Rattus norvegicus: one gene and its partners. The protein of the gene in region 2 interacts with the protein of the main gene of each other region in a biochemical or structural test. Links are inferred from orthologs where the notes say so. Each region holds a gene or a part of one and is shown on either strand. Other genes may lie near its edges. The genes, in order: Mdc1, H2ax, Rnf168, Rnf8 and Ppm1d.

The links.
Region 1: the proteins of H2ax (region 2) and Mdc1 form a complex in vitro, tested with the Homo sapiens proteins (5 studies listed by BioGRID and IntAct, with this or other methods). The link is inferred for Rattus norvegicus from reciprocal best matches to the Homo sapiens genes H2AX and MDC1.
Region 3: of the proteins of H2ax (region 2) and Rnf168, one has a biochemical effect on the other in vitro, tested with the Homo sapiens proteins (2 studies listed by BioGRID). The link is inferred for Rattus norvegicus from reciprocal best matches to the Homo sapiens genes H2AX and RNF168.
Region 4: of the proteins of H2ax (region 2) and Rnf8, one has a biochemical effect on the other in vitro, tested with the Homo sapiens proteins (2 studies listed by BioGRID). The link is inferred for Rattus norvegicus from reciprocal best matches to the Homo sapiens genes H2AX and RNF8.
Region 5: of the proteins of H2ax (region 2) and Ppm1d, one has a biochemical effect on the other in vitro, tested with the Homo sapiens proteins (3 studies listed by BioGRID and IntAct). The link is inferred for Rattus norvegicus from reciprocal best matches to the Homo sapiens genes H2AX and PPM1D.

Annotation. Positions count from the first base shown.
Region 1 is NC_086038.1:2,903,135-2,909,326, forward strand, and holds part of Mdc1 (mediator of DNA damage checkpoint protein 1), read right to left. Parts: coding exon 5,928-6,192; intron 5,817-5,927; coding exon 5,751-5,816; intron 5,613-5,750; coding exon 5,523-5,612; intron 4,564-5,522; coding exon 4,336-4,563; intron 3,751-4,335; coding exon 3,707-3,750; intron 2,941-3,706; coding exon 2,412-2,940; coding exon of another isoform or gene 1,635-2,411; coding exon 1,464-1,634; intron 1,358-1,463; coding exon 1,263-1,357; intron 1,185-1,262; coding exon 1,062-1,184; intron 971-1,061; coding exon 788-970; intron 525-787; coding exon 399-524; intron 285-398; coding exon 174-284; intron 1-173. UniProt on the Homo sapiens protein: Histone reader protein required for checkpoint-mediated cell cycle arrest in response to DNA damage within both the S phase and G2/M phases of the cell cycle.
Region 2 is NC_086026.1:53,565,997-53,571,810, reverse strand, and holds H2ax (H2A.X variant histone), read right to left. Parts: upstream 3,094-5,814; 5' UTR 3,026-3,093; coding exon 2,594-3,025; 3' UTR 1,739-2,593; downstream 1-1,738. Other genes in the region: Hmbs (porphobilinogen deaminase), read left to right, coding at 83-121, 315-434, 629-682, 786-872, 952-1,125; Dpagt1 (UDP-N-acetylglucosamine--dolichyl-phosphate N-acetylglucosaminephosphotransferase), read right to left, coding at 4,644-4,709, 4,795-4,950, 5,117-5,204, 5,710-5,814. UniProt on the Homo sapiens protein: Variant histone H2A which replaces conventional H2A in a subset of nucleosomes. Nucleosomes wrap and compact DNA into chromatin, limiting DNA accessibility to the cellular machineries which require DNA as a template.
Region 3 is NC_086029.1:81,998,527-82,004,718, forward strand, and holds part of Rnf168 (E3 ubiquitin-protein ligase RNF168), read right to left. Parts: intron 3,768-6,192; coding exon 3,646-3,767; intron 1-3,645. UniProt on the Homo sapiens protein: E3 ubiquitin-protein ligase required for accumulation of repair proteins to sites of DNA damage. Acts with UBE2N/UBC13 to amplify the RNF8-dependent histone ubiquitination.
Region 4 is NC_086038.1:7,680,865-7,687,734, forward strand, and holds the start of Rnf8 (E3 ubiquitin-protein ligase RNF8), read left to right. Parts: upstream 1-3,100; 5' UTR 3,101-3,184; coding exon 3,185-3,295; intron 3,296-6,870. UniProt on the Homo sapiens protein: E3 ubiquitin-protein ligase that plays a key role in DNA damage signaling via 2 distinct roles: by mediating the 'Lys-63'-linked ubiquitination of histones H2A and H2AX and promoting the recruitment of DNA repair proteins at double-strand breaks (DSBs) sites, and by catalyzing 'Lys-48'-linked ubiquitination to remove target proteins from DNA damage sites.
Region 5 is NC_086028.1:70,702,250-70,707,694, reverse strand, and holds the end of Ppm1d (protein phosphatase 1D), read right to left. Parts: intron 3,117-5,445; coding exon 2,559-3,116; 3' UTR 1,665-2,558; downstream 1-1,664. UniProt on the Homo sapiens protein: Involved in the negative regulation of p53 expression. Required for the relief of p53-dependent checkpoint mediated cell cycle arrest.

The DNA of each region.
Region 1 (6,192 bases), on a different chromosome or scaffold from region 2:
AAAAAAGAAAAGGGTTAAACTTTAAAACAACAGAGTCCTTTGGCACCAGGATCTTTTCCTTTTTTCCCTCATTCTTGTTACTCTTTCCCTCCATCATTCCTCCAACCCTTTCTCATCCCCACTTCCTTTCCAGCTGTTCTCCCCCCACCCCCACCCGCTCCGGCTCATCATACCTTGTAGGAATGGGGCATGCTGGGCAGGACAGTGCCTCCACAGCAGCTGATGATCTCTCCCATCTGAGGTGGAGGTGGCTGCACTCCAGGGGTCACATGAATCTCATAGTCCTAAGAAAGGAATGGTGGAGACAGATGCCTGCAGTGACAGGCCAAAAGCCACTGGGAACCTGCTAGGGGTACAGGGGATAGGACTGCAACGTGGTGCAGAAGACAGCCTCTCACCTCCAGTAGTCTTCGTTCCCGAGCCCGGCTCAGGGAATCCCGAAGGCTGAAGCTAAAATTCTTCTCTTGTTCAGGATCAGTCACCAAGTAGTCATCAGGCGGCAAGAAGCAACCAGCCTTTCGGGACTAAGAGGAAGAACAGGCAGAACTGTTTTTTATCTGAAGAGAACTTACTGTGTCTTGTTTGTCCTTCCCATTCCTCAGGACTGACCCCAAGACTTCAAGCATGCAGGGCAAGTGCTCTACCACTGAGTCATCCCAGCCCTTACGGTATTTCCTCAAAGCAGCCCACTGCCTCACTAACACAATTCTACATCTCCTCCCTCCCACTCCTTCTTTGGAGGCTAAACGAGCAGTCCTTTCCAGCCACGCATCATCTTCTGGCTTACCTGATAGAGCCAGTTCAGGGACAGGATGGGAATTCCCTTCCCCACGGCACACAAGAACTTGACTGTCCTGCGGATGCGATCAGTAACCAAGTGGGAGGCCTCATTTACTGAGCTGGCCAGACTGCCTCCTAGAGCCAGCACTGCACGCTCTCCACGAGAATCCACCACTCCTGTGAACAGTACCTGGGGCAGGGGATGGGGTGCAAAGATGGTCACAGCAACCCATACTAGCAGCATAGCGCCCATCCACCAATCCTTGGCCCTTGTTTCCTACCTTGGGGGCTGCTGCTTCCTGGTTAGGCTTAGTTCGCCGGCTTCGAGTTGGGTTTCCCTGGGTTTCCCCCTCTGCAGGGTCCCTCTTTCTCTTGCCTGGTGTTGGAATTGCTGTCTCCTGAGGCTGAAAAACATCTCAGTGGGCATCTCTGAGCCCTGTAGCCCTTGCTCCTAGCTAGGGAGACCCCAGCTCTCCTCTTACCTCTTCCTTCACTTGTATTTCTCCAGGATCTTCTTCCTTGACGACTACAGTTTTCTGGGTGACTTGTCTTCGGGGACGTTTTTGATGGGGTGAATCTGTGGTAATGGAAGGCTTCTTTTGGATTCCAGAAGCCGTAGGAATGGGCTTCATTATGCATCGAGGGAATGGCAGACTCATCAGGAGTGGTTGTAATGAACTCACCTGCTTCTGATGCTCCTGAGCTTTGGCTGGCTGAAGACTGGGGTTCAGGTTCAGCGGGGGTAGAGTAAGACTTAGGACCAACAGGAGCTGTGCGGGAGCCCTGCTTCCCAGTAGCCCTTCGCCTCCTTTGGTGACTGGTTTGTGGAACTGGCTCCAGGGTAAGAGGCTGGGCTATGAGGACAGGAGGCTTGAGTTCAGGGGTAGTGGAAACTGGGGAAGCACTTACAGGTGAAGATTGTAGTGTTAAGCTCTGACCTGTCACCTTAGAGGTAACAAGGTGGTCTGTAGAGGTGGGAGGCTCAAAATCAGGTGCCACTGGCCCAACTGATTCCAAACCTTCAGTGGAGGGTTTATGTGTCCTTCCCCGAGTGACCAGAGCTGTGGGCTTGGGGGTAGGCTGTTTTTTAGAAGTGGAAGGCTGGAGTGCAGGGGTTGTGGAAACACTTGCTTCAGGAGTCCTGACAGACCTACGTGTCCTGCCCTGAGATGAGGGCTCAGGGGTATCAGACTGTTCTGAGGAAGTGGATGGATGGAATTCAGGGCCAGTTTGGACAACTGGTTCTGGGGTCCTGATAGACTTATTTGACCTACCCCGAGAGGCCCGAGATGTAAGGTTAGGGGTGACAGGCTGTTCTGCAGAGGTAAGAGGCTGCAGTTCAGGACCAGTGGGGACAATTGGTTCTGGGGTCTTGATAGAAGGCTTACTTGATCTACCCCGAGCGGCCCTGGTTTTAGGGATAACAGGCTGTTCTATGGAGGTGAGAGATTCAGAGCCAGTGGGGACAACTGATTCTGGGGTCCTGACAGAAGACTTAGGTGGCCTGCCCCGAGTGGTCCGAGATGTGGATTTAGGTACGACAGGTTGTTCTGTGGAGGTGGGAGGTTGGAGGTCAGGGCCAGTGGAAATAAGTGGTTGTGGGGTCTTGACGGAAGACCTACTTTGCCTACCCCGAGGATTGAGGTTTGAGGTGACAGATTGTTCTGCGGAGGTGAGAGGCTGGGCTTCGGGACCTGTGAGAACTGGTTCAGGCATATTAACAGAGGTACTATGTGCCCTGCCCTCAGTGACCTGAGAAGTGAGGTTTGGAATGCCAGGCTGTTCTGTGGAGGTGGAAGGCTGGAGCTCAGGGCCTGTAGGGACAATCAGTTCTGGGGTCCTGGTAGAGGACCTATTTGCCCTGCCCCGAGTGGGGCGAGATGTTGGCCTAGAAGCAGCAGGCTGGTTTGTGGGGCAGGTAGTATAAGGCTTAAGGGCAGCAGAGGAATGTGGGGAGGGGGTCATCCTGGAGGACCGCCGTGGCCTGACATTAGGCTTTGTGTGAAGAGTCTCAGGAAGGGCTAGCTCAGAAGAAGAAGTGGGAAACATAGGCTGAGGTGTAGATTGCTTTTGGCTCTGAGAGGTGAGGAGACTCTGAGGTGAAGCTGAAGCTTCAGGCACTGGAGAAAACAGGCGATGGTCTGAGGGCTCTGGGTCATCCTGAGGAGGAGAAGGAGAAGCAACTGACAAAAGGCACTAGGAGAGGCAGGCAAGAATCTTGAGTTTTTTCAGTATTTCTGAGGAAGTCATAGCTCATGTAACTCCACCGTCCTCCACTGATTCTTCTATCTTTACTTCCAAGGGCTGTTCACGTGTCAGGTTTGAGTCTACTTATGGTCACAGCACTCACGGGCATGTCTCTTTCTGTAACTTTTCTTAGGCTAGGAACTCCTTGGGGAAGGAAGCAATCTTATGGATACCTTATGGAAGATATCTTATGTGCACTGGTGAGTATGACAACTAAGACATGCCTGGGGCAAAGACGGACAAAACAGAGACCTCTGGGTCAAAAAAGGGAACTATGGGTGGCAGGACACAGGAATGGAAGCCAACTAATGAGTGATGAATAAGAAAACTGGGATCAGGGAGACAGGTCAGTAGGCAAGGCAAGCACCAAGATCTGAATTTCATTTCTAGAACCCAAAGTATAGTGGCATATGCTCAGAATCCCAATGCTAGGGAGGAGACAGGAGGATTCCTGGAACTTGCTGGCAGGCAGTCTAGTCTACTTTAGCATATTCTAAGCCAGTTTGAGAGATCCTGACCATCACCCTGCTAAAAGGCTGGGTAGTCCCTGAACAACAACACAAAGCTGTCACTTGGCTCCCTCATGCACCTCCCCCAAAAACACACCCTCACACACATGCACACATGGACATGTAGTGAACTGGCTGCCGGGGAAGTAGGGCACAAGAGAGCAGCTCACCCCGGAAGCCTTTCCATCTGGCATCATCTGGCAACTTAGGTGGCCTGGTCAGAGAGTAAAGCAAGAGTGGCTGAGCGCTGTGCAGCTGTAGGTCAGACCCTGACTGCCACAAGGACTACATCCCACTTGGCTGCCCCTGCCTCACACTTATCTCTCCGCTGCCTCCTGGGGCTCAGAGGGTCTCCCTTTCCTCCATCTCCTGGGCTCCCAGAGATTATTGGGGCTGATGCAAGACCCTCAAGATCCTTCACCCCAGCAGGCTTTGGTGTTAGACTGGCAGTTTGCCCTCTCTGTTCATGGCTCCCTTCCTCTGTCTCCCCTCTATCTGGGCTTACTTCTAAACTCCCATTCTCTCTCTGGTTCTGCTTTCTCTGCTTTTCTCTCTCTCTTCTGTGAGTCTTTGGACATCTCCATTTCTACCTCCAAACTCTCCCTCTTCTCTTCAGGGTCCTCGCCAGCCTCTTTTCTGACTGTCTTTAGCTAACACCTTCTTTGACTCTGTCCTCTGTCCCCTGAGTTAGTTCTTTTCCTATCATATCTTCTCTCTCACTGTTTGCTCTTCTTTCCGATTTCCCTCTCCAATGGCTCTCTCTCAGGGGTCACCCTTTCTGCCATTTCCTTTGGTATACCCATGGCTTTCTCCACAGTCTGCATCTCTCTGTCATCAATTCTCAACAGCTCTGTGTGATCTAGGCTGGTAGGGACCGGATGTTGGTGTCCTGGTGGTTCCCCAGGTAGAGATGGTTGAGATCCATGAGCTTCATGGGTGTCAATGGGCTCAGAGGTCTCTGTCTGTTCTCTCAGACAGAACGGCTGTGTAGCCAAGACTTCCCAAGGCACATCCAAGGTATCTGCACCTAAACAAGGATCAGAAAAAGGAGGTAAGTACATGGGTAAACAAAATCACTAAGGCTGAGAACTAGGGCAGACTCACAAACAGCTAAATGGGTTACAAAAGGAAATCTGGGAGTAGGGTAGTGGCTGTAATGTTGCTGCTATTCAGAAGATTATAACCTCATACACAGGCTCCCTCAGGAGGCTCATTTGAAAAACAAGGATTGGGGATGTGGTTTAGGAAAACACTCATCTTAGGAGAATACTCATTTGTCACAGGTAAAACCCTGGGTTCAAACTCTAAGGAGAATGTAGAGGGAAAACCAATTTGAGTCTTTGGGCCAACCTAAATCTCCTGAACTAGAATCAGGATAATCTAGGCAATCTCATTTTTATTTATTTTTTTAACATGTATTTTAAAATTTTCTATTCATACGTATATCATGTGTGTGGGTACACAGAGAGCGATGAATCTCCAGGAGTGGAGTCACCGGTGGTTGCCAGCTGCCTGACATGGGTGCTGAATTCTTGTCCTCTAGAACAACAATGGCCACTCTTAACCATTGAGCCATGCCCATGTTGTTGGATTTTGTTGTTGTTGTTTCTGAGACAAGTTCTCATTTAGTCAAGGCCTCAAACTTTCTATGCAGTCCAGGATGGCCCTGAGCTCCTGCCTCTGTCTCCCAAGTTCTGGGAGACAGTGTGTGTCCCCATGTCTGGTATAAGTTTCTTTTCCTGATGAAATGGAGAACATCAGTAAAATAGGGAAAGAATATGAAAGGCAGGGCTGGGAATACAGCTCAGTTGGGAGAGCTCATCCAGCATTCATGACGTCCTAGTCCATCCCTAGCTGATGACACACACCTATAATCCCGGCACTTGGAAGATCAGCATAGGTAAATCTAACAAGACAGCATATGAAGGATGTGGAGGGAAAAATAAGAAAGGATGCAAGGCTGGGGGTCCAGAGACTTCCGTGTACCTGGAGTCGGGAGGCTGAGATGGGAAGGTCCAGGCTCTTGGGGAAGGCATGGGAAGACTTGGGTAGGCTCATCTTCCAAACTCTGGACAGCTGTAGAAGAAAAGGTGGGCACAACGCAGCTGTCCCAGAATCCCATCCCCCTACTTGGCCACATCGCCTTTCAAGGACCACTGGTCTGATCGCCCAGCTCTCCCTGGCACTCCCATCCAAAGCACACAATGTCCTCACCTCCTGGGTGCTGGCTCTCCCCTTCCACAAAGCACTGGGTGGCTGAAAGGCACAGATCCTCAGGTTCTGGTGGGAAGAGATGAGAGACAAATAAAAATCAACTCATCCCGAAGACTCCTGCAGTTCTCTCCTAAGCCTTATTTAAGGGTCAAACGCAGAGCAGAGGGCAACACTTACCATCACAGCACTCTTTGGCATGCTTGGTCCCGCCCACATGTGCTTCTCTTTCCCTTCCTGTGGGGGTCTGGGCTCCCTCTCTCTGTGGCAGGGTAGGATCCCCTGAAGTATCTGTGCGTACCACCACCTGCTCCACGGGTGCTGCAGGTGACCTGCTCTGAGCCCCGACCTCAAGAGCACTTTTCTGTTCAGAAACAGCTGCAGCACACTCTGTCCCAGCATCTTCCGCTACTGGCTGCTGGCTCATTCTTATGTCTGCCACTGG
Region 2 (5,814 bases):
CCTTTCCCAGGCTTCCTAGGTTGGCAAACCCTAGCTCACTCACTTTGAACACCCCATCTCACAATTTTGTCTGTCTCCACAGATCTTGCACCCAGAGGAATGCATGTATGCTGTGGGTCAGGTAAGTTTGCCTGGAGTGGGCTTTATTGAAGTGCTCCTTCAAGAACTTGGGTTCATAACCTTTGACATCCACTACCTATCAAATAAAATGTTTGGGGAGGAGCAGCCTTTGGCATGCATTAGATCCTGGGAAGCAGGTAGAAGAGGGGTGTTCCCATGTCCTTCACTGGAGATCAGACCTTTTGTTCCTTTAGGGAGCCCTGGCGGTGGAGGTCCGAGCCAAGGACCAGGATATCTTGGACCTAGTGGGTGTGTTGCATGATCCTGAAACTCTGCTTCGCTGCATTGCTGAAAGGGCTTTTCTGAGGCACCTGGTAAGATGGGTTCCTCCTATGGTGTTGTGGGGACTTGGGAAACCAAGAAGGGCAATAGGAAGATTTCTCAAGTACTCTGTATGTAATGTTTTATGTGTGGAGAGGACCTTGGTCTGGTCCCAGCAGCCTTCTCAGTTACATTCTTAAGAGGTTTGTGGTCAAAAGAGCTCAAAGGAACATATATATCATTGCAGGAAGGAGGCTGTAGCGTGCCAGTAGCAGTGCATACAGTGATGAAGGATGGGCAAGTAAGCTGGGGAAAATGGATGAGGGGGAGGGACTGGCATTTCCATGTACACCCAAACATCTAAGCAGCTTTCTTTATACTGGTACAAACATTTTATCTCCTAGCTGTACCTGACTGGTGGAGTCTGGAGTCTAGATGGCTCAGATAGCATGCAAGAGACCATGCAGGCCACCATCCAGGTCCCTGTTCAGGTACTGACTGGGAGATGAGGGAGGAATAAATATAACTGCTTTTAATCTTCTCACCAAAATTATAACTCCTGTCATCCAGCAAGAAGATGGTCCAGAGGATGACCCACAGTTGGTTGGAATCACTGCCCGGAACATTCCAAGAGGAGCCCAGCTAGCTGCTGAGAACCTGGGCATCAGCCTGGCAAGCTTGTTGCTCAACAAAGGAGCTAAGAACATCCTAGATGTTGCACGGCAGCTTAATGATGTGCGCTAACTGGCCTGCAGGGCACAGGAACCGAACCCCAGCTGTCACTCCAGTGCCTATGTCTGGCTGTCAAGTGCCCTGTGCTCCTTAACAAGGGGAATGATTATCCCAGGAGATTGAACCAGAGTTGTTGAGACTTCGGCCTTGGAAGATATGCCTCAACTTGGGGCCTCCATGACTGCCTTTCCCTCAGTAGTTTGTGGGCTTCATCTCTTTAGAGAAAGTCCATGCCAATCTTTTAATGTAACCAATGCCACTAATCAGTTCAGAATGTGGTTCTCCTGGAGTTGGGGGAAGATATGAATAAACCCAAAGCCCTTTTAAACCTGAATTCTGAGTCTGGGACCTTTCTGTTGTAAAACATCCTGATCATTCTCAACCAAGCAAAGAAACTAGCCTTCATCCCTACAGCCTGCCTGTCTTTAGTTAACAGGATCTTCACATAGCCTTTCATTCCCAGTGCCTGCAGAAAGGAAGGTAAGTTTATCCTCTAGTCCCACTCCCTCCCACGAGATGTTCTGGGCACATGGCTCCTCGACTATGGAGCTGTAAATGTCCAGCCCTGGGACTACAGCATTCAAAGTTAAGTTAGGCATTCAAAATTAAATCAGACACTCCGTTTAAAAAAAAAAAACAAACCAAAAACGATCCTTTAATAAAATTAGCCCATTGAATCTCCCCACTTCTTAAGGTTCTAAACTTGTAATAGCTGCAAAAGTTCCAGTTCAGAAGCCAGAGGCTCAGTCCAGACAGGGATTCACCGACTTGTGCTGGTATCTGGGTGTTTGGGTTGTAGTTTGAGTTAAGGGAGAGGGATAGCTAGGCCCGGCTCCTCTAGTCTTCTGCGGCAGGTATACAATTCTTCTGTCCACAGGCCAATAGGCGTTCCCTGACCCTTTCCAGTTTATCTTGGAAAAATTGGCTTCACGTTATAACATGCCGGCCTACAAATGACGACAGGGTCAACTGGTTTGAGAGGCCAGTAAGGGGGACACAGAGTGAAACAGTATGATCCGCTTCTCACCAAAGTCCGGCAATCAACTCACTTCTGAAAGGTCCAGGAGAGGGCTAAGCACCAAGCTGAAAACGCTGGGGTTGTAGCTGCGGGGGGGGGGGGTGGTGGTGGTGGTTAACTAACCTTCAAGCCCACCTCGGCCGTACGTCATAGCAAAGGGCCGAGATTTCTGGAAGGTGGAAGGTGCCGCAACCTCTCCGCACAGCCCGTCGACGACTGAGAACGGCGAAGCGATGTCACGAGCTCCGGGATGGGTAGGTGCCCCGGCGCCCGCGTCCTGTGGCAGACCCGGAGGCCGCACAGGGAAGGGTAAAGACGCGAGGACTGAGAGGAGAGAATGGGATGGGGACGCGGCGGGCCGGAGCCCGAAGTGGCTCAGCTCTTTCTGTGAGGGAGGTGGTGGCCCTTAAAAGGGCCTTTGTGGAGGTGGGGGAGGGCTGGGCAGCCGCGGCGCGGGCTCCCTCAGTACTCCTGAGAGGCCTGGGAGGCCTTCTTGCCGCCCGCCGGCGCCTTGGGCCCCACGGTGGCGCTGGTCTTCTTGGGCAGCAGCACGGCCTGGATGTTGGGCAGGACGCCGCCCTGCGCGATAGTCACGCCGCCCAGCAGCTTGTTGAGCTCCTCGTCGTTGCGGATAGCCAGCTGCAGGTGGCGCGGGATAATGCGCGTCTTCTTGTTGTCCCGAGCCGCGTTGCCCGCCAGCTCCAGGATCTCGGCAGTGAGGTACTCGAGCACCGCCGCCAGGTACACGGGCGCGCCTGCGCCCACGCGCTCGGCGTAATGGCCTTTCCGCAGCAGTCGGTGCACGCGGCCTACCGGGAACTGAAGGCCGGCGCGCGAAGAGCGCGACTTGGCTTTGGCGCGGGCCTTGCCGCCGGTCTTGCCGCGACCCGACATCGTGTGCGAGGTAGAAGGGCTGAGAAAAACGCCAGGAGACAAACCGCCAACCGCCGCAGTCAACTGTCGCCTCGCGCGGGCAAGCTCGCCCTTATAAACTCTCTGGACACGCCCCCGCTTCCGCCTAATTGGTTCTTTTTTTAATACCCACCTCTGGTTGGTTGCAATTAACCCTTCGGTGACGCGCCATAGCCGAGAGAACGCGCTCAGCGATTGGTCCAATTTGAAAACCTTTTACCCGGGGAAGAAGACAAGGCGGAGTGGCTGCAAGCCAGAGGCGAATCACCCTTGGAAATGGCCAATCAGTATAGAGCGCGCGAAATTTAAACGCTACGGCGCGCCCACAAACCCGAAGACTAGAAGGGTGGAGCTTGGAGCTACCTCTATGGTTTCTGGGAAATCTGAGCCGGCCTGTGGTTTTAAAGGAAAAGGGTCTTCACTGTAAGCACCTTTCTCCTTCCAGGTTAGGGCACTTCCTACTCCCTCCTCTAATCTGGCAAAGGGAAGGGTTTATTTATTTGCTTGTTCTTTATTATTATTTTTGGGTTTTCGAGACAGGGTTTTTCTGTGTAACTCTGGATGTCCTGGATCTCTCTGTAGACCAGGCTGGCTGCGAATTCTGAGATCTGCCTGCCTCAGCTTCCCAAGCGCTGGGATTAAAGGCGTGCACCACCACCATCTGGCTTTTATTTTAATGAGACAGGGTTTCTCTGATTAGCCCTTGGTGCCCCGGAACTCAGAGATCCGCCTGCCTCTGCCTCCCTTGTGCTGGGATTAAAGGCTTGGCTGAAAAGGGAGGGTTTAAAATGAAAGAAATGAAACCTTCTGAGAGTTTAATCCTGTGCCAGAAAACGGAGCACCGTTATCCATTATGCTATCACAAGTTTGTGCTGTAATATTTATTTGATATGTTCTGTCTGGTCTCAGTATGTGACAGACCTCTCTTACAAGAAAGGGTCTGAGGGGAGCAGGGGTAGGGATCCTATTGGAAAAGGTACCCACTCTAATCCTTTCAATCTATTCTAAAATGCCTATATAAAAAAATAAATATGTCGAGCTTGGGATATAGTTCAGTGGTAGAGCATTTAAGTATAAGGATGCCCTAGGGTTCAATAAGAACCTCAAAGGTTAAAAAGAAAGGAGGAAGGAGTGGCTACACCTAGAGGAACAAGTAAAAGGCAATCCTTTATTGTCACCATTCTGAGCACATGGCCCTGCCTCTGCTCTTCCTAATCAGAACACTTAATTTGATAGTCAGATGTGAGGTTACCTTGGAGTATGTTGCCCTAACTCTAGCCCTAGCCCAGGTTCTCTCTCAAGGCCCAGGGGATTCCTTTAGAGTTAGGGTTCTGAAAGTTGAGCCATGAATATTTGCATAAAAGATGCTACAGGCCCACCTGGTGAGGCTGCAGAAAGGGAGGGAGTAGCAAACTCAAGAAAGCATAGGCAAAGTCCAACTAGTGGACGTCAAGTCCACTAAGGAGTCCATCCAGGATGTCAGTAGTCACAGATGACGGCAGAAGCTGAGCCTGGACCAGAAGGCGGTCGGAGCGGACAGAGGTGGGTCCTGGCTGAGGTCCAATGGAGACTGTGTGGTAAAGGGCAGTCGTCAGGGAGCTCAGACATCATAGAAGAGTCGGACGAGCTGGTAACGAATGGAGAAGGTGACAGCGCTGCTCAGAACCTAGGAAAAGTGGACTGGAATTGGAACCAAGGCTGACCAGAGACATAAACCCCACTGTATTACTAAGCCCCACCCTCGGCTGTACCTGCAGGAGCAGCAGGAACAGTGTGAGGTTTCTCTCATGTGTAGGCCCAAAGACTTTAAGTAGCAAGTTGATGAGGGTCATGTTGTTACACTCAGTGAAGGCACCATCCTCACTCTCCCCTCGGTGAACTGTCACCAGCCGGAGGCTCTCTGCTACCTGCAGGGACCAGAGGTGAAGACAACTTCAGGTGCACAGATCTACTTCACAAATAGGGCCCTTCTTGATGTTTCCAAACTCCCCTTGGGCCTGAGAAGGCCTAGGTTTCTCTTCTCCCAAATTAAGGATGGCGGCCTGGGGCCTTACCTCCTTGTTACCTTGTTACCTTTAAAATAAACGTGCCCAAGAAAGAGAGGCTCTTGGTCTTGAACTTGGAATAGCTCATCTCCAGTTTGCCTGTCTTCGTATTGAGTCTGCAATGGGAAGATGACTTCGTTTGAATGACTCAAAGAACTCTGCACCCTGTGGTTACTAAGAAGAGTACTGAGCACTTAGGTACTGAAGTCGGTTTCTGGCTCTGATGCTTGCTTCTGGGTCATCAGCTGTAAGCATCACACACTATGTAAGTAAGCAAGTGTTGTAAATTATTTTTTTTTAAAGATCTATTCATTTATTACATATAAGTACACTGTAGCTGTCTTCAGATACACCAGAAGAGGGCATCAGATCTCTTTACAGATGGTTGTGAGCCACCATGTGGTTGCTGGGAATTGAACTCAGGACCTCTGGAAGAGTAGTCAGGTGCTCTTAACTGCTGAGCCATCTCTCCAGCCCAAGTGTTGTAAATTATAATGGGCTACCCACATACAGTTACCTCTTCTTTCCCCTCACTTCTTTCTACATAGGAAATGCATAAATTGGCGTTAGCTATCCCAAGGCAAAAGCTATAATGACCCTTTAAAGCCCCAGAGTGGCTACCTGGGCATACGGTGTCGAGGGCAGGGGATGATCTGAAAGAGCTGAGGCAGTGAGTAGAGGAAATTGAATACTTGTGGCATAAAGAAGAGCAGCATGGTCTTGCTG
Region 3 (6,192 bases), on a different chromosome or scaffold from region 2:
AAACCCAAATAACAACAATAATAATAAATCATTATTTTAAGAGGAGGCTATTATGTCTTGCCAGAATTTTTGGCTATTATTTTTTCTTACAATAAAAGCGTGAGAAAATGGCTTTAATTGTTTCTTCCAGCAAGAATCCAGGTTCTCACACATGTTAATAGGTATTTGTTATTACTTTAAACCAATTCTCTCCTATGGTAAAAAAGGTTTACTGGTGGCAATTAGTACAAGAGCTGACACATGATGTATGCTCTTCTTTCAACACCACGAACCATAGAGGCATCTGACACCCCAAATTTAGATGAGAGGATTTCATTATCCTCCTCTGATGACTTTGTTTCTCCTCTGGAACTTGATTTCAAGATGGCTGCAGGAAGCAGTCCTTAAGGCTCTCCTGGCAATCTGAAGTGTCAAAGGGCTCTGCAGTACCCCACCTCACTCACCGCTACCAACCGCAAAACGTGGATTTCAGCAGTTTCTGCCTTCTCCTTTTTAGACAAGGATTTACCAGGTCACTTACGATGCCCAGGCTGGGCTCAAACCCAAGTTCTCCTGTCTTACTTATTAGCCTTTAGAATAAGTGGGACTATGTCTCATCAATCACACCTAGTTCGAAGCATCTTTTAAAAAGCAACCATATAGGAAGCGCAAGGCCCTGGGTTCGGTCCCCAGCTCCAAAAAAAAAAAAAAAAAAAAAAAAAAAAAAAGCAACCATAGTCCTTGGTGATTTTTTTTTAAAGATCTTATCAAGGAAATATATAAGGCATAAAAAAAATTATTTATGGCCAGGCAGTGGTGGTGCACTCAGGAGGTGGAGGTAGAGGCGGAGGCTGACAGATCTGTCGGCCTCTGATCTTTCTTTCTTTCTTTCTTTCCTTCTTCCTTTCTTTCTTTCTTTCTTTCTTTCTTTCTTTCTTTCTTTCTTTCTTTCTTTCTTTCTTTCTTATAAGTACACTGTAACTGTCTTCAGACACACCAGAAGAGGGCATCAGATCTCTTTACAGATGGTTGTGAGCCACCATGTGGTTGCTGGGATTTGAACTCAGGACCTCTGGCAGAGCAGTCAGTGCTCTTAACCACTGAGCCATCTCTCCAGCCCCCCGGCCTCTGATATTTAAACTTGAGGCCAGCCTGGTCTACAGAGTGAGTTCCTAGACAGCCAGGGCTACACAAAGAAGAGAGACTGTCTCAAAAACAAAACAAAACAAAACAAAACAAAAAACCAGCTTATGAAAGAATAGTAGTGCCCACATCTAAGAACCATATAAAACACAGTAATAGGAAAGGAATATCACTGGAAAAGACCAGAGTGAATGACATGTGAACTTCTGTGTGTATATATTATTTTTGAGATTATAATTACTCAGCTTTGACATGCCAAAGACAGGGGAAAGCCTGCAAAGCCTTGACCCTAAACAAAGAACTACAAGCAAACAAGCAACATTGAGAGTGGAATACTCTTCCTAAGGGAAAAGCCCAACAATTCCAGTATCAAATGATCATTGCTGAAGACATGCCTATAAGTAACAATATAAAGACTGATCAGATTGTATTTAGGAATATGTTATGTATATAAGCATACATATATGCACGTAATAACAATTAATGAAAAAGGGGCCATGAATTTGAAAGACAGCAAGAAGGGGGTAATATGGGACCATTTGGAAAGAGGTTTTTTCTTTCTTTCTTCTCCTTCTTTCCAAAATTGAGATAGTATTCTATAAAAGGTCTCCAAGACAGGAGACCCTCAAATTTACAGAGCTCTCCCTGCCTCTGTCTTCCATGTATGGGGATTCATGAACCACAACACTTGACACTTGTACGAATAGTCTCTACCTTACTCCAAAGGGTCTCTGGCCATGCGGAAATCCCCAGGAAACACTGCTGAGCTTGGCGCACTCTCACACGCACTACTTGGTTTAATGTTGTGTGTTGGGAGGAGGTCTGGTTATAAAGTTCCCTCCCTACAGGGCCTCTTCTTCACCTCTCTCATACAGACTTCCATTTCTCATCTCATCTCTTACTACTTATTACTGTGTGTGTGTATAAGGGGTTTGATGTTTATTAGCACATGACTGCCACAGTGTGTGCACGTGTGTGTGTGTGTGTATGTGTGTGTGTGCATTCCAAAGACAACTTTGTGGAGTTCTTTGTCCCCTCTTTTTCTCGGGCTCTAGGGAACTAACACAGATTACCATGGAGCTACCTTGTCAGTCCTCATTGTTACTTTAAAAAGTTTCCTTTCTTTTCATTTTTCTTTTTCTTTTCTATCAGACAGTTTCTCTGTGTAACAGCACTGGCTGTCCTGGAACTAGCTTTGTAGACCAGGCTAGCCTCAAAAAAAAAAGGGGGGGGGGTTGGGGATTTAGCTCAGTGGTAGAGCGCTTGCCTAGCAAGTGCAAGGCACTGGGTTCGGTCCCCAGCTCCGAAAAAAAAGAAAAGAAAAAAAAAAAAAAAAAAAAGAAAAAGAAAAAGAGATTGATTGATTGATTGATTGATTGATTTTAGCTGGGCAGTGGTAGTGCACTTGAGAGGCAGAGGCAGGTGGACTTCTATAAGTTCAAAGCTAGCCTGATCTACAGAGTGAATTCCAGAACAGCCAAGGCTGCAAAACCAAACCAAACAGAGCCAACAACAACAAAAAAAAAAGGGGCTGGGGATTTAGCTCAGTGGTAGAGCGCTTACCTAGGAAGCGCAAGGCCCTGGGTTCGGTCCCCAGCTCCGAAAAAAAGAACCAAAAAAAAAAAAAAAAAAAAAAAAAAACAAAACAGAAGCTTTTGTTTTGTTTTTTCAAGACTCGGACTCTCTATGTAGCCCTGGCTGTCCTGGACTCCAGAGCTCCACCTCCCTCTGCCTCCCAAATGCTTGGATTAAAGGTGTGCACATGTATATGCCCCACTGTGTCCAGATCCAGCCCACATTTTAAAGATTCATTTAATGTTTACTTTATGTATGTTTGTATGCTATATGTATTCATGGTCTGTAGAGGCCAGAAAAATGCATGGTATCCCTTGAGTGGTTTAGGAGCCACCACACCTGATTTAAATCCAAGAATTAAACCTGGGTTCTTTGAAAGAGCAAGAAGTGCTCTTATCCAGTAAACCATCTCTCCAGCTCTTAGTTTGTTTTGAGATAGGGTTTCCCTGTGTAGCCTAGGCTACACAGAACTAGAACAATCCTACACCTAGCTCTGTAGTCCAGGTTGGCCTTCAACTCACAAAGTTCTGCCTGCCTCTGCCTCCTGAGTACTGGGATTAAAGGTGTGCGACACTCACTGACTGGCTCAAGCTTTCCATTGAAACAGCTTTTTGGCAAGATGATCAGCAGGTATACGTGCTTGCTGCCATGCCTGATACAGAGCCGGGTCAGTTCCCAGTGCCTACACTGCCTCATAGACACCCATAACTCTAGTACTAGGGATTCCAGTGCTGTCTTTTGGCATCTGAGGGCACCAGACACACATTCCATACATTTACATGCAGGCAAAACACTTAAACACATAAAAATAAGTAAATAAGTAAGTCTTTAAAAGACAAAACCAAAGCTCCTTAACAAACCTTAAAGACTTGGTAGTCAATATGAACACACCCAAAGGCTTACATACAGTAGACGATCAGTGGATAAATGACAGTCATATTCACTTACCTTTGAATATCTCCAAAGTTTTTTTGTTTGTTCGTATTTTTCTTCTGTGACTTGTTTGTGACGGGATCTGATTTTCTGGAACTCAAAGGAGATGCCAAGATATTTCTCTCGTAGTTACTGTTCTTCAGTAACAAGAAACACATACAAAGACATTTTATTAAGGAGAACTTGATGAAAAATAGAAAGCTTTGAATTGTATTAACTCAAAATTCTTTTTAATTTAAAAAAATTAAAAATAATGTGGTAGTTTGAATGTGCTTGGCCCAGGGAGTGGCACTCTTTGAAGGTGCAGCCTCATGGGAGGAAGTGTGTCACTGGCTTTCAGACCCTCCTTCTAGCTACCTGGAAACCTGTCTTTTCCTGTTTACCTTTGGAACAAGATGTAGAACTCTCAGCTCCTCCTGCACCATGCCTGCCTGGATGCTGCCATGCTCCTGCCTTGATGATAATGGACTGAACCTCTGAACCTGTAAGCCAGCCCCAATTAAATGTCCTTATAAGAGTTACCTTGGTCACGGTATCTCTTCACAGCAGTAAAACACCAATTAAGACAAATAATTTATTTTTATTTTATGTACATTGGTCTTCTGCCTGCTTGTATGTGTGTGTGAAGGTGTCAGAGCCCCTGGAACTAGAGTTAGAGACAGTTGTAAGCTGACATGTGGGTTCTGGAAATTGTACCTCTGGAAGAGCAATCAATACTCTTAACCACTGAGCCATCACTCTAGTCCCTAACTTAGATTCTGTAAAGTTATTTAAAGACCACCAAGTATCTATATACATCATTTTCATTCCCAAGACTTTATTTTGCAACAGGCATCCATATAGCATTTACATGATCATAAGTAACGACTTAAAGTCCATGGAAGGCAAGATGGTTCATCAGTTAGGGGTGCTCATTACTAAGTCTGGCAACCTGAGTTCCATCTTAAGATCAAGAAGATAGAAACAGAGAACCAACTCTCACAAGTTGTCTACTGATTGCTCGTGTAAGCGCATGTGCACGTGCATACATACTCGCCAAACACATAAATGTAGTGAAAATAATCATACAGGAGGACATGTTTAGGTTATATGCAAAGCTATGCCGTTTTATGTAAGATTTGATCATCTTTAGATTTTTGTATGTATGATAGATCACAAAATTAACTGAAATATAGAGGTATACCTCTATAAACAAAATTAAGCCTATTCAAGTTTGCTAAATTAAATGCATCTATTACTATATATCTAGTCATGTTACATATGTAACATATGTAAATTGTACCTTATACACACACATATCAGATACATAAAATTAAATACAACACACACACAAATACTCTTTCAAAGAAATGAAGATACTAATTAATCTTCTATCTGATAATCTCATGGCTTTGTTTTGTTTTTTTAAAAAAGATTTACTTATGTGTATGGGTATTTTACCAGTTCATGTCTGCACCATATGCATGCCGAATAGCTGGGGAGTTCAGAAGAGGATGTTGGATACCCTGGAACCAGAGTTAGAGACGGCTGTAAACTGACATGTGGGTACTGGAAATCAAACTGGGGTTCTTTGAGTGTAAGCAGCACTCTTTACCACTGAGCTACCTCGTCAGCCTGACAGTCTCATGCAATTGTAGCTACCTTACTCTGTTGTGGAAAATATTAGTTAAAGAGCCAAGAATATATCTAGAGCAAAAGTTATTACACAGAAATAAGTCATTAATTGTTTACCTATCTCTAAAATTTTACAATAAACCAACAATAATCCTAAAACTTCAATAAATCTACTCTACCTCATGTGAAAACTAGAATTAGCAGGTACAAGTGGCTCCAAATTCCCTTCTTCAGTGTCTCCTTCTCAACCCACTCACCATCCTCAGTGTGTCTCAACCCATCATCATCCTCAGTGTCTCCCTCTCAACCCACTCACCATCCTCAGTGTCTCCCTCTCAACCCACTCATCATCCTCAGTGTCTCCTTCTCAACCCACTCACCATCCTCAGTGTCTCCCTCTCAACCCACTCACCATCCTCAGTGTCTCCTCAACCCACTCACCATCTTCAGTGTCTCCTCAACCCACTCACCATCCTCAGTGTCTCCCTCTCAACCCACTCACCATCCTCAGTGTCTCCTTCTCATCACACTATTTTTTTTTTCTTTTTTCTTTTTTTCGGAGTTGGGGACCGAACCCAGCTCATCACACTATTACATCTGGCCATCCCTCTCTCCTTCTTTGCCTCTCTTCCCCCACCACTCTCTGGTTTCTATGATTGTTGTAGACAGGGTTTTAGCTAAGTAGCTCACACTGACCTTGAAATTGCAGTGATCCTTTTACCTCAGCCTCCCAAAGTGCTAGGATTAACCCATAGCTGGTCAGTCTAATTTCCTGATGGTGCATCTCTCTAAATTTTAACTCAAACTGACGAAAGGCTATACAATAAAAGGCGGATAAGATCATAAAGCTAAAGTACATTATAAATGGTAAGAGTCATAAAAAAATTCGAGGTATACTTCACTTTTATAAAATATATTCTCGGGGTTGGGGATTTAGCTCAGTGGTAG
Region 4 (6,870 bases), on a different chromosome or scaffold from region 2:
TTCCAGTTTGGGTGGAATGGGAGTGTCCAGCTTAGCAGAGTTTAGGTAGAGGAATAGCGGCGCTAGCAGGCATTAGCAGGGGGTCTAGTGTTTCCCATTCGATTGCAGCTGACCCTAGGCTGGCAGGGGGCACCACTGAAAGGAATGTCAGATTGCATTTCTCATGTTTCAGCTTGAATCTTCTATTTAGAGGCCGGGTGCAGAGGCATAGAAGATAAAGGAGTCAGATTAAAGGTAGATCCAACCAGAATGGAGAGCCCTCAGTCCTAGCTCCCTGCTCCCACCAGACACGCACAGGTTGACTCATCCTGGGAGAGGGAGGAGGATATCACCCTGAAGTCACCCTGCAGTTTCCACAAACCTCAGGTGTCTGCCTGCCTCCTCCCTCCCCCTAGCTCTAGGATAGGTAAATGCAGGCTTCCCTTGTAAAGCTGGCGTGTGAAGCAAGAGAAGAGAACAGAGAAGGCAGGACTCAGACACACACATCAAGACTCCTTTTTTGCCCAGCTCGGTCTTTCAAGAAAAAGCCTCTGTCTCGCCTCCCCCGAGCCCCATGCAGGGAAACCCGATTCACATCATTAGCGGGAGCTGCAACCCAGTGACCCACCCCTGCTCGCAAAAGGGAACGGCTTGGTTTGGGTTTTTCAAAGACATGTCTTGCTCGGATGCAGCTTATAGATTAAAAAGTCTAAAGCTTAAGGAATGTCTTTATAATATTACACAGCTTAAAGAGAGAAAAACCTTATTTTTTATGTCTCTTGTGTAACAGAGGGTAGAAATGTCATAGATGGGGCTGGAGAGATGGCTCAGCGGCTAAGAGCACTGACTGCTCTTCCAGAGGTCCTGAGTTCAAATCCCAGTAACCGCATGGTGGCTCACAACCATCTATGATGAGATCTGATGCCCTCTTCTGGTGTGTCTGAAGACAGCTACAGTGTACTTATATATAATAAATAAATAAATCTTTAAAAAAAAATAGACAAGTACACAGCTCCTCCTTCAAAACCCTGGAATTGGGGTTGGGGATTTAGCTCAGTGGTAGAGCGCTTGCCTAGCAAGCGCAAGGCCCTGGGTTCGGTCCCCAGCTCCGAAAAAAAAAGAAAAAAAAAAAACAAAACAGAACAGAAATATGATAAGAATATGTTTTTGTTTTAGTCCCAGGTGTGGGATATGGGGCTGCTCCAGGACGTCCACAGCAGCTGACTGTGATTTGCTTCATGCCCTAGCAGGGGTGTGATTTTTTTTCCCATTGGCAGAGAGTCTCTGTGATTATGTGACATTTGGGATTCTGGGGACTTTTCAGAGGGTGGAGAGACAGGGTGGGTTTTTGGTTAGTTGCTATTGGTCTTGGTTTGTTAAGTAGTTGTGCGCAAAGGAGAATGAAGGAAGGAAGGAAGGAAGGAAGGAAAGAAAAGAAAAGAAAGAAGAAATCTATCCTGATGGCAAAGATCAAACTCAATGCCCCTAATCAACAGGAAGTGTCTTAACAATAGTATCGTCCCTCTTCCTTTCGGTCTCCTTCCTTTTCTCTCCTATCTGGTGTTAGGGAGTTGAATGGGTGTGAAGGGTGGAAGAAAGAACCCACAAAGTAGCAAATGTTAGCTACAGTTTTCATCTTACAAGTTGGGAAACTAAGGCGTGGGGCAGTCAAATAGCTTCCTCAGCACCTATAGTAAATAGTAGGCTTGGGATTGGAACTCACGAAGCCGGGTTCTGTAGTCTGTATTGCCTCACTGTGCTACAGTAGCCTCCAGTCCACTCTCAAGTCCAGGGAGCTGGTCACACACAAACCACCTCCGTACTTTCACAGAGATAAAAGAAAGAAAAAAACAAAACAAACAAACAAACAAAAAAACGGCAGGCATGAGAAATGGCACATCGATTAAGATGAGCTGCTCTTCCAGGGGACATGGGTTTGGTTCCCAGAACGCACATGGTGGCTCAGGACCCCAGAACTCCAGTTCTAGGGGGATCCAACAATCTCTACTGGCTTCTTCTGCAGGCATCAGGCATGCACTTGGCTCAGAGGCATACACGCAGGCAAAACACCTATAATGCAGACATTAAACAACAACAACCAAACTCCTGGGTGGAGAGATGAGGGAGAGTATCCTCTCCCCAGCCCCTTCAAGGCCATTCCCATTCATTCTCTACCCCCCCCCCCCATGAGCCCCAGGTAATGTGATCCATCTCTACAGATTTGCCTGGTATAATTTTTTAAAATTCATTAACAAAATGAGGTCATGGAGAGAGAGAGAGAGAGAGAGAGAGAGAGAGAGAGAGAGAGAGAGAGAGAGAGAGAGAGGCTAAATAGTAACTAGACCAAATCAACTTTAAAATGATCAGAGTTTTATAAATCAAATAAAATAGTTATGGCCACCATCAAAATGTAGTTATGAAGCAATTTTTGCTTTGGTGACACGGTCTCATATCCCAGGCTGGCCTCTTAACTCATTGCATAGCGGTGGATGCCCTTGAATTCCTCGTCCTCCATCACACCCTGCCAAAGAAAAAAGGGGGTGGTGGGGTGGAAATCAGAGGTTCCAGTTCATTGATGCAGCTTCTGGGGTAGTAATAGCTTTGGAGAGCTCGGGGGAGGAAGATATTGGGAAAGTCATTATATTCACAAACCCAAGGAAAGACAGTGCCTCTTGTCATTTACTACGATTTTATAATTTAGGTGTTTATTCGTGTGGGCACACAAACCCGCTAGGCGCGCATGTGGAGGTCAAGAGGCCAATTTGAAGAGTCAGTTTCCCCCTGCCACCACGTAGGTGAAGCCTGAGCATCGGACTCTTGACTCGACGCTTGGCAACAAGCAACTTTACTCGTTGAGCCATCCTCCAAGCCCTATGATTTACATTTTACGGTTTTGGGGGTTGGGAGACACAACCTCACTCGGAGGCCCTGGCTGAGGTAGGTCAGCAGAAGACTTTAAGCCCGCCCTTTCGGACTCAATACCTGCGCTCTCCCCGCCCTCCGCCGCCGTCGCCCTCCCGCTGCGCACGCGCAATGCCTGCCTTCCTAGCCCAGGGGCGGGCCCGCGCTCGCCGCGCCACCGATCTCCGGGCGATTGCTTCTGTCTGGTGTTTAGGTATGGTGCGCGAGAGGCGCCTCGGAAGCGATCGGAGCCCAGGCTGGAGTTTGGCTGGTTACTGAAAGTTGCCCCGGTGCCGAGCGGGCTATGGGCGAGCCCGACCCCTTGGTCTCGGGGCAGCTCGCGGCCCGCCGGAGCTGGTGCTTGCGGCGGCTGGGGATGGACCGCGAGTGGCTACAGCTGGAGGCTGGGAGTGAGGTGAGAGCGAGCGGCCTGGCAGGCTACGGGAGCGGGAAGGCTGAGGAGCGGCGCCGCGCACATCCGATCCGGCCTGCCCGGAGGCGCCGAGGCCTCAGCGGGCTCCAGGCCACCTCAGGGCTTGGAGGGACCCGGCCGCGAGGCCAGGCGAGGCCGCGGCTTGAGGTCGGGGCTGGAGGGCGGCTGCGCGGGAGCGGGGCCCGTGCGGGAGCCGCTGTAACGGACGCGGGCCTGCCAGCGAGGAGAAGGATGGGGTCGAGAACAGGCACGGTCCCCGTTAAGGGTCTCTTAGAGTCTTGCGGTGACCCAGCTGAGACGGGGAAACTGAGGCAGAGGCGTCCCCACTGACTCCAAAGGATGGGGAGCCTGCCCAGGGAGTCTGAAGATGGACTGCGTAGACTCTCGGAGTTGATTTTAAGTGCGATCGCGAGTTTAAGGGTAGCTTGCTTAAAACCCTCGAACTGTAATGTAAAATATGTAAATAAATAAAGTCTTCCACTCCATCTCCGAGGGTAATTGGCGAGCCGGCGTGGACCACGGTTGCATTCCCAGAGTCCCGAAGTGGGTTAGCCTTCTCTCCAGAAACTGCTCACAATATTTGATAATGCAAACTTTAGGGGCTGGTGCTGTATCCCGAACCCAGGGTCTCGTACTTGGAAGGCAGGCACTCTACCAAATGTATCTTCAGCTCCATACATGCAAAATTAAAAACAAAGGCCAAAAGGGGAGGCACAGTTTATAGGCGGGAGGGAGGTGCTGGGGCGGACTGCGTCCTTGTAATCAGTTCTGGAAAGGGAACTGGGTCAGGGACGAGCTTGCAATGTAGAAACCCTTGGGGTGCAGTACTGAATGTTTGGTCCTGTGTGCTGACTGGTCTTATGTCAAGTTGGCACGGAAATTAGAGTCATCTGAAACGAGGGAAACTTAATTGAGAAAATGCCCCCATAAGATCTGTCTGTAAGGCATTTTAATTAATGATGGATAGTGGTGGTGCCATCCCTGGGCTGGTGGTCCTGGGTTCTATAAGAAAGCAGGCTGAGAAAACCAGTAAACAGCACCCTCCATGGCCTCTGCATCAGCTCCTGTCTCCAGGTTCCTGCCCTAAGTTCCTTTGATGATGTTCTTCAATTCAGAACTGTAAGCTGAATAAACTCTTTCCTCCCCAACTTGCTTTTTTGGTTATGGTGTTTCCTTGGCAAGAATAGTAACCCTAAGAGATCATCTAAGTTACATTCAGTGAATTGGTAAGGTTAGAATTTCTGATAAGCTGTATAATTCTCAGTTGAGAGACAAACATAGGGATTTGTGACTTGAACCAGGGAAAAAGTATTTTCACAGCGAAGGAGCCTGAGACCATCTGGGTTGGCCAGGGTCTTGGGTTATTTAGGAATATTCTAGAGCAGGTCCTGCTTTAAGTTAGGCATCAGAGGGCTGCTTATTTTTTTTACATATGAGGTTTTTTCTTTTTCTTTTCATCTTTATTACTTAATCTGATCCGTGAGCATTTACTAGTCCCTCACAAACCTGTAGGGGAACTTGATCCATTAAGTACTGACTTAGTCTCTGAGACTCCGTCCCTTGGGCTAATCCATTACTCCCGAACTGCTCCTCAGACTCAGAGTAACAGGGCACAAACACTACTGGGCGTGTCTACGCAGTGTCACCGATCTGTGTGGAATTACATCTATGGGGCAAGGCCCAGACAAACCAGGAGAAAGCTGAATCTAGGATTGACTCACCTTGGCGGCCTGTGTGTAAGGGAAGCCCGCCCAGTGACTTGCAAAGTCCGGTTGTTGGCAGCATGTGGAGCGTAGTCTGCAGAGCGTGTGGAGTCGGAGTCAAACCCTGGATGAGCTCTGACTGTGGCTCTCAGGTGCTGGTACAGGTGGGTTTGCGGAAGGTTCTGAGAGGTGCGCCTGGCATCGGCCAATCCTAACAGCTAAAGCCGGTTAGTTCCTGCCTTTCCAGTTTCCCTCAGAGCTTCACTGTGCAGATAAAAATCTAAAAACACTAGAGATCTCCGTATCACACAGGAGCAAATTATCTGCCTTTAAGCTTCCTGAACCAATCGGGATAGTTTTGTCTAAGTACAAATGACCGGGGGGTGGGGGGGTGTTGATCACAGGTGAGCCCCTTGCAGGCCTGCAGGGAACATCGCCTTCCGCCGCCCGCTTGCTTCTCTTGTGTTTGGTTCCCTTGACTCTACCCTGAGTGAGCTGGAAAGGGAAAGGGGTGGGATAGCTCCCGAGAGTGTACTGGTTCTCTCAGCATCAGAGCCCTGCACAGGAGGATCGGGCTGGTGAAAGTGGTTGAGAAAACAAGGGCGTCTAAAGGACTGGAGGTGGAGCAGCTGTCATGGGGAGCGGTGCTGACGTGGAACCATTGTGAAGCCCAGGACAGCGAAGCGGAGGGAGGACAAGGACATTTCCCCTCTCTGGATTCTAAGTCCATTTCAGAGCAAGGTGCTTCTCTCCCTGATGGCAGTCAGGCTGTCTCCCATCGCGTCAAATGGATATGGAATGCTTCCTATAAAACAGTTACCAGAGACGGGAATTGTTGGTGAACACGGACGGGATGGCAGACGATCCCTAGACACCGCATCGCCATGCTAGTCCTTGGACCTGGGCAGTCTTCATGTGAAAAAAATGTGTATGTATGTATGTGTGTGTGTGTGTGTGTGTATGTATGTATGTGTGTGTGTGTATGTGTGTATGTATGATATGTATGAGGGTAGTTATCTGCATGCTGCAGTGTATGTGTAAGGTCAGAGGACAACGAGTCTGTCCGTTCTCTCCTACCGAGTGGGCCAAGATGTTGAACTCAGGCTGTCAGGGTTGGTAGCAAGTGCCTTTACCCACTGAGCTATCTCGGGGTCTGCCCCCCCAGTTTCCAACTTCTGACATAAAACAACACTCAAATATCGCCCGTTTTGGAATCTGGGCCTATCCTATAGGCAGGCGGGCGTCCTCTCCCATCCCCACTTCCTACTGCTAGGGTTCTGGGCACACCTACCACACAGGGTTCAGGCAACACCCCTGTGTTGTCAAGTATCTGCTGTGTAGTGGGTCAGAAAGCAGTGGGGATGAGATGTGCACTCTAGGAAGCAGTGAGGGCAGGATGGACAGGTAGGAGGGACTTTAGGGCTGTGCTAAGTGTATGCTGGTAACGTGAACTTCGTGAACTGTGTCTCACCACTTGTAGGTGAGTGTAATTAGTGTGGGCCCTGAGCGGGTGAGTCTGGGAAGAGGAGTTTACGGTTCTGAGGAAAGCATTTTAAGCAGAGCCCAGTGTATATGAAAAGGCCCTCGGTCGACTGGAGTGTGGATAGCTTTAGGTTAAGTGGGGTTTGAAGACGAGAGGTGATCTGACCTTTTCTCTATCCGCTCTGTAGCTACTGTGGGAAGAGAAAGACTCAGAAAGGAGCTGAAAGCCCAGGACTAGGTGGACTGGAGGTGGCAGTGAAGATTCCCAGGGCAGAAATGACCGCAGGATAGGATTAGGTACAGTTAGGGTGTGGGAATGAAGGACTCACAATCAAAGGTGGCTTCTGTGTTCTCAGCTGAGGTCTAACTTGA
Region 5 (5,445 bases), on a different chromosome or scaffold from region 2:
TGCAAGTTAGAAGAGTGAACATGAGGGGGCTGGGAGATGAGCCAGACTGGGCCGCGAGATGTGCAACTCATAATCAAGAAGATGTTTGTAAAAGGGGGGGGGGGGTGCGCTAGGAAAAGTTAATAGCTGAAAGATACCTAAATTTGGTAAAAAATACAAACCTACAGACCCAAGGTCAAACAATCAAAAGAATTTAACTCAGGAACCATTCAGGACCTGGTAGTGGCAGAAATGAGGAGATAACAGCTGAAAGACAGACCTAAAATTGCAGGGTATGTTTTTTGAAGACATGTCAATGAAACCAACTAATTTATACAATTAGCATATTTAGTAATTACCAAGAGACCTATAATCCCCTTTATAAGAGGATCCCGAAAGCCATCCTAGTGGGTCCACCTAGGTTTCAGTATTTCAATAGTGCCATCCAGAGAGACAGAATTCAAAAGTAGTAGGCAACATAGCATATCCAAGCCAGTGTTTGTTTTTCTAGTGTTACGGATCAAATGCAAGGTCTTATGGCTAGACATAGCTCAGAAGTTAAGAACACTGGCTGGTATTCCTGAGGTACTTTTTTTTTTTTTCCTTTTCTTTTTTTCAGAACTTGGGACCGAACCCAGGGCCTTGCGCTTGCTAGGCAAGCGCTCTACCACTGAGCTAAATCCCCAACCCCCCCCCTTTTTTTTTATTTCCAGCACCTACTTACTGGTCCACAACTTGCCTTTAAGTCCAGTTCACGAGATCTGACACCCTCTTAGGCCCCCACAGGCACTAAGCATATACGTGCTGCACATACTGCCATGCAGGCAAACTAATCGTACACATACTAATGAAGTTCTCTTCCCCCACCCCACTCCACCAGAGCTGAGGACCAAACCCAGGGCCATAAGTACTTTACCCCCAAGCTAAATCCCCAACCCCTAATAATTTTTTTTAAATGCAGGGCTTTGCACCTGTTAAGCAAACAATCACGTAAACCCTCACACTAAACCCCGAGTCCTTTTATCTCTCCTGCTCCTCATTTGTCTCCCTGGTTTTGTTTTATACACTACTATTTTCAGACTCGGTCTCATGATTCTCAGGTTGACCTAAAACTTTGTAACAAGGATGACTTTGAATCTCTGATCCTCCTGCCTCTAGTTTTTGCAGTGCTGGGATCTAGCCTAGGGCTTCCTGTGTGTGAAGCAAGCACTCACCCAACTCAAGCACATCCAAAGCCCTCAATGAGGTTTCTTGTTCCAAATTAAGGGCTTAAGATAAGATGTTCCTTTTTTTTTTTTTTTTTTGGTTCTTTTTTTTTTTTTTCGGAGCTGGGGACCGAACCCAGGGCCTTGCACTTCCTAGGCAAGTGCTCTACCACTGAGCTAAATCCCCAACCCCCCAAGATGTTCCTTAAGAAGCACAGTTGTACACATACCACATTTATAGAATCTTAGAGCTTCAGTACTTCCCTTGAGCTTTTATTCTATTACCAAAGGAGACACAGCTTTACTGAACACTTAGAACCTGTAAGTGAAGCATGTTGTTAGACATTTTAGTTCATGTCTGTGTTCTGTATTAATAAAAAATGAGTACTGTATGTATTTCAAGTCAAGAAAGCACAGGTATATCTCATATCTGACTGTTGGTACCTACTGTGAAGAGTCACCAACAAAACGCCAGCAACGTAAGGGCAATAGTTCACTGATTTATTGGATAGACATATTCATATAACCAATGAAAGCCTGTATGATATAAAATAATTTAGGAAATGTTGGGTATTAGCAGCACCATCTGTTATTGAAATAGCAAGAAAAACTTCACGTATTTTAAGCAAACACTAGAAGAGAGTAACTATATGGCCTAATGCCACTGGTCTGGGACAGATAGTGGTGTGTTAGGCAAACACACCGCCATCTGTGCCAGAGATTTCAGTAAGCACACCAGATGTACTGTTCTAGAAGAATGCTACTGAAGTTACAAGATACTGCATAGTGTAAGTGGGACAAGGAGACTAAAATCAGCTACATTAGCACAGCTCAGTATTTTTCCTATGAAAGGTTTACTTCTGAATTATGAAATGTGAAATAAAATGTAATTTTAAAAAGACACTGATGGTCCCTAGGAAACATTAAGTGGAGCACAGAGCACTATGAAAATACTTCACTTTTCCAGTTTGCTTAGTAATTTTCTTTAAAAAGTCACGTGTTCTTCACAAGGGGTGTATACAAGTGTGTAATAAGCATTTTAAAAACTTTAAAGACATTTTTAAAATCGTAAAGATTCTTCTGACCTTTCTTCAACATTAGCCCTGTTGTCACAATTACTGTGTGTCAGAATAAGAGACTAAATTTGTGTGAAGGATACAAATGTACACACATTTTACAGCAACTTATTCCCTACATCTACAAATTTCACATTTATAATACAGGCAAGTACAAGGCCAGAATAAAACTGTTAAATTCCAAAAAGTCAAACTGTATACTCTTTATTTTGTCCCCTTAAAAAAAGTTCAACTTCGGCACCAAATGTAAAAAGCCCTCAAGTCATAGGAAGGGAGATCCCCACTTCCCAGGCCCACCTCAGCACACACACACTGTTTTCCGGTGCTGATGTAAAAGAGGATTCCCCATCTTCTTCTGGCCCCGGAGTCTGCGCCTCATGGTCAGTGTGACAGAGTGCCTGCGCTGGGATGCTGTGGGGAGACTCGAAGCTTGGGCCCCGCTATTTCGACTTAAGCCATTTCGTCGATGCTTCTTCATAAGGGGACCAGAGTTGGATTCTTCTAATGTCCTTTTAAAATTGGCTGGAGGGGTTCTTTCAACTTCTTGAGCTTTCATTTGACCTGGAGTTGACATCTTTAAATTTTTTTGGTCCATGATAGTATTTGTTGAATTGGTTGGCATGAGGCCAACTGACAGAGTATTATTCAAAGAATCATGAATCCTTAAAGTCAGGGCTTTGGGGCAATTTTCTTCAAGTGTCTCTGAGTCTTTTGAGGTCATGACTACAGTCTGGATACTTCCTCGAGCTATCTCAGCTGGGACCTCTAAAAACTTCTCTGAGAAGGCATTACTGCGAACAAGGGCAGGTATATGGTCCTTAGAGTTCAGCCTTGGCCATGGATCTTCTTCCAGTGACTGGGGGGAAAAAAAGGAAAAATAAATATTTATCCTATGCTCGATAAACTGATACAGACAGTAAGTTCTTAAGACATTATTAAGAGGGGTTGGGGATTTGGCTCAGTGGTAGAGCGCTTGCCTAGCAAGCGCAAGGCCCTGGGTTCGGTCCCCAGCTCCGGGAAAAAAAAAAAAAAAAGGAAAAAAAAAGACATTATTAAGATAGTAAAACCAGCTGGACAGTGGTAACACACACCTTTAGTTCCAGCACTCAGAAGACAGGCAGGTGGATCTCTGTGAGTTCGAGGCCAGACTGGTGTACAAAGCAAGTTCTACACAGCCAGGGCTACACAGAGAAAACTTATCTCAAAAACAAACAGATGGCAAAAGCAAGGCATGCACTCACTTTCCTTCATCGTAAATTCACTGCACTAAGTTGAGGGTTACAAAGAAAGGAGTCAGTACAAAGGAACCCAGAAGGAACCCATCTCATCACAAGAGATAGCATCATGTACCTAAGGGGAGAAAACCATGTGCTCACAGGTCTTCCTGAATTACAGCTGGGACCAAGTAAAATACTTGAAGGCTTCAAAGCAGACCCCTTAAAACAGCCACAAGCACACACTCTACCAAGACATGCACTCTGTGCCCAGATGCAGAAAAGGGCTAAATTACTGCTTTTGATATTTTAATTTCTTTACCCAAACTCTATATTTTACTTTGTTTGTTTGTTTGTTTGTTTGTTTGATGAGACAGAATTTTTCACTGAAGCCCTGGCTGCCCCAAATCCTGCTATATCAGGCTGGTTTCAAACTCTTAAGATCTGCCTGCTTCTGTCTCCTAAGTGCTGAAATTAAAGTTATATAAAACCACTGCCAGCAGAAACTCTGTATTTGAATTTTATGTACAGTAATATACTACTGATGAACTAGCTCTAATTATTTTACATAAAATCCTTGCTTTTTGACACAAGCCCATGACAAACTTAAGCTGACATCCCAACTTTCTGGTTAATCAAATAATGCTTGTTTTCAATTTTAATTATGTGGCATAATGATGACACAATTGGGATGAAAAGGACCAAATTTCTATTGACTGCATTAAGACCTAGAGGCTTATATTACTGTCCTGCCATGGCATGTATGTGTGAAAATATGGACACACAAAATAAATGCAATTTAAAATTTTTGTTAACTTCTCAAAAGCTTGTGTGTATATGAGCATGCACAAACAGTATGCATATGTAGAGGTCAGGAGGCAAGTTACATGTGATCTCTCCTCACACCCTGAAGACCCCAGCATTGAACTTAGGCAGCAAGCACTGTCTTGATGCCTCTCAATGGCCTTTTCAGAAAAAAAATTGGGACAGTGTGTCATGTAACCCAGACTGGCTTTGGACTTGCTTTATAACTAGCGATGACCGCAGATTCCTGATTCTCCTGCCTCTACTTTACAGTGCTGATTGCAGAGACCCACTCATCTTATATACTCAATCAAGCCTGGGCCTCATGCTTGCTGGGCGAGCTATCAGCTGAACCCTACATCCCCAGCCCTATAAATGGCTTCTTGACAAAAACTAGTTAAAACTAGCGATCTTAAAACTATAAGTGAAAATTTTCCAGGGTGTTCTAAAAAATCTGTGACTATTATCCATCTAGGAACTATGAAGTACAATATTAAAAGCAATCATACCATAATGGAAAAATAGATAGTAATTTCCCATCCCGTGAACATTAGACACCAGATGTCAACTGAAAAGACAGGTCATGAAGGGACCTCAGTGAGCATAGTAATAGAACCCCCTCTTTTTCTGAGACAGAGTCTCACTATGTAGCCTTACAATCATTTCCAACTCTCCGTATTGCCCTTGAATTTGAGAGTCCCACCTCAGCTTCCCAAGTACTAGGATTACGTGTGCACGACACGATGCCAAAAGTGTGTGTGTGTGTGTACATTCATGTGTGTGAGTGCAGGTGCTTGTATGCCACGGCTCAGGTGTCATTTTGCTTTTGTTTTCTGTTGTGTATGTCAGCTAAGCTGCCCATGAGGGTCCATGAATTCCCCTTTCTCTACATTCCATCTCCCCACAGGGTGCTAGGATTACAAATGTTCCTGCTGTATGTCCAGCTCTCACATTGATTCTGGGTATTAGGACACAAGTGATTCTGCTTGCACATCACCCATTTTACCCACCCAGACATATCTGTAGCCCTTCCTTTTCCTTCCTAAGAGAAGGTCTTGATGATATTACCCATAGTTCTCCAAGAGTCCCAGTGCTAAGAAACGTTTGTTGTCCGCAATAGTATCTCACCCTGTAGTCCAGGCTGCTCTCAGACTTGCAGAAATCCTC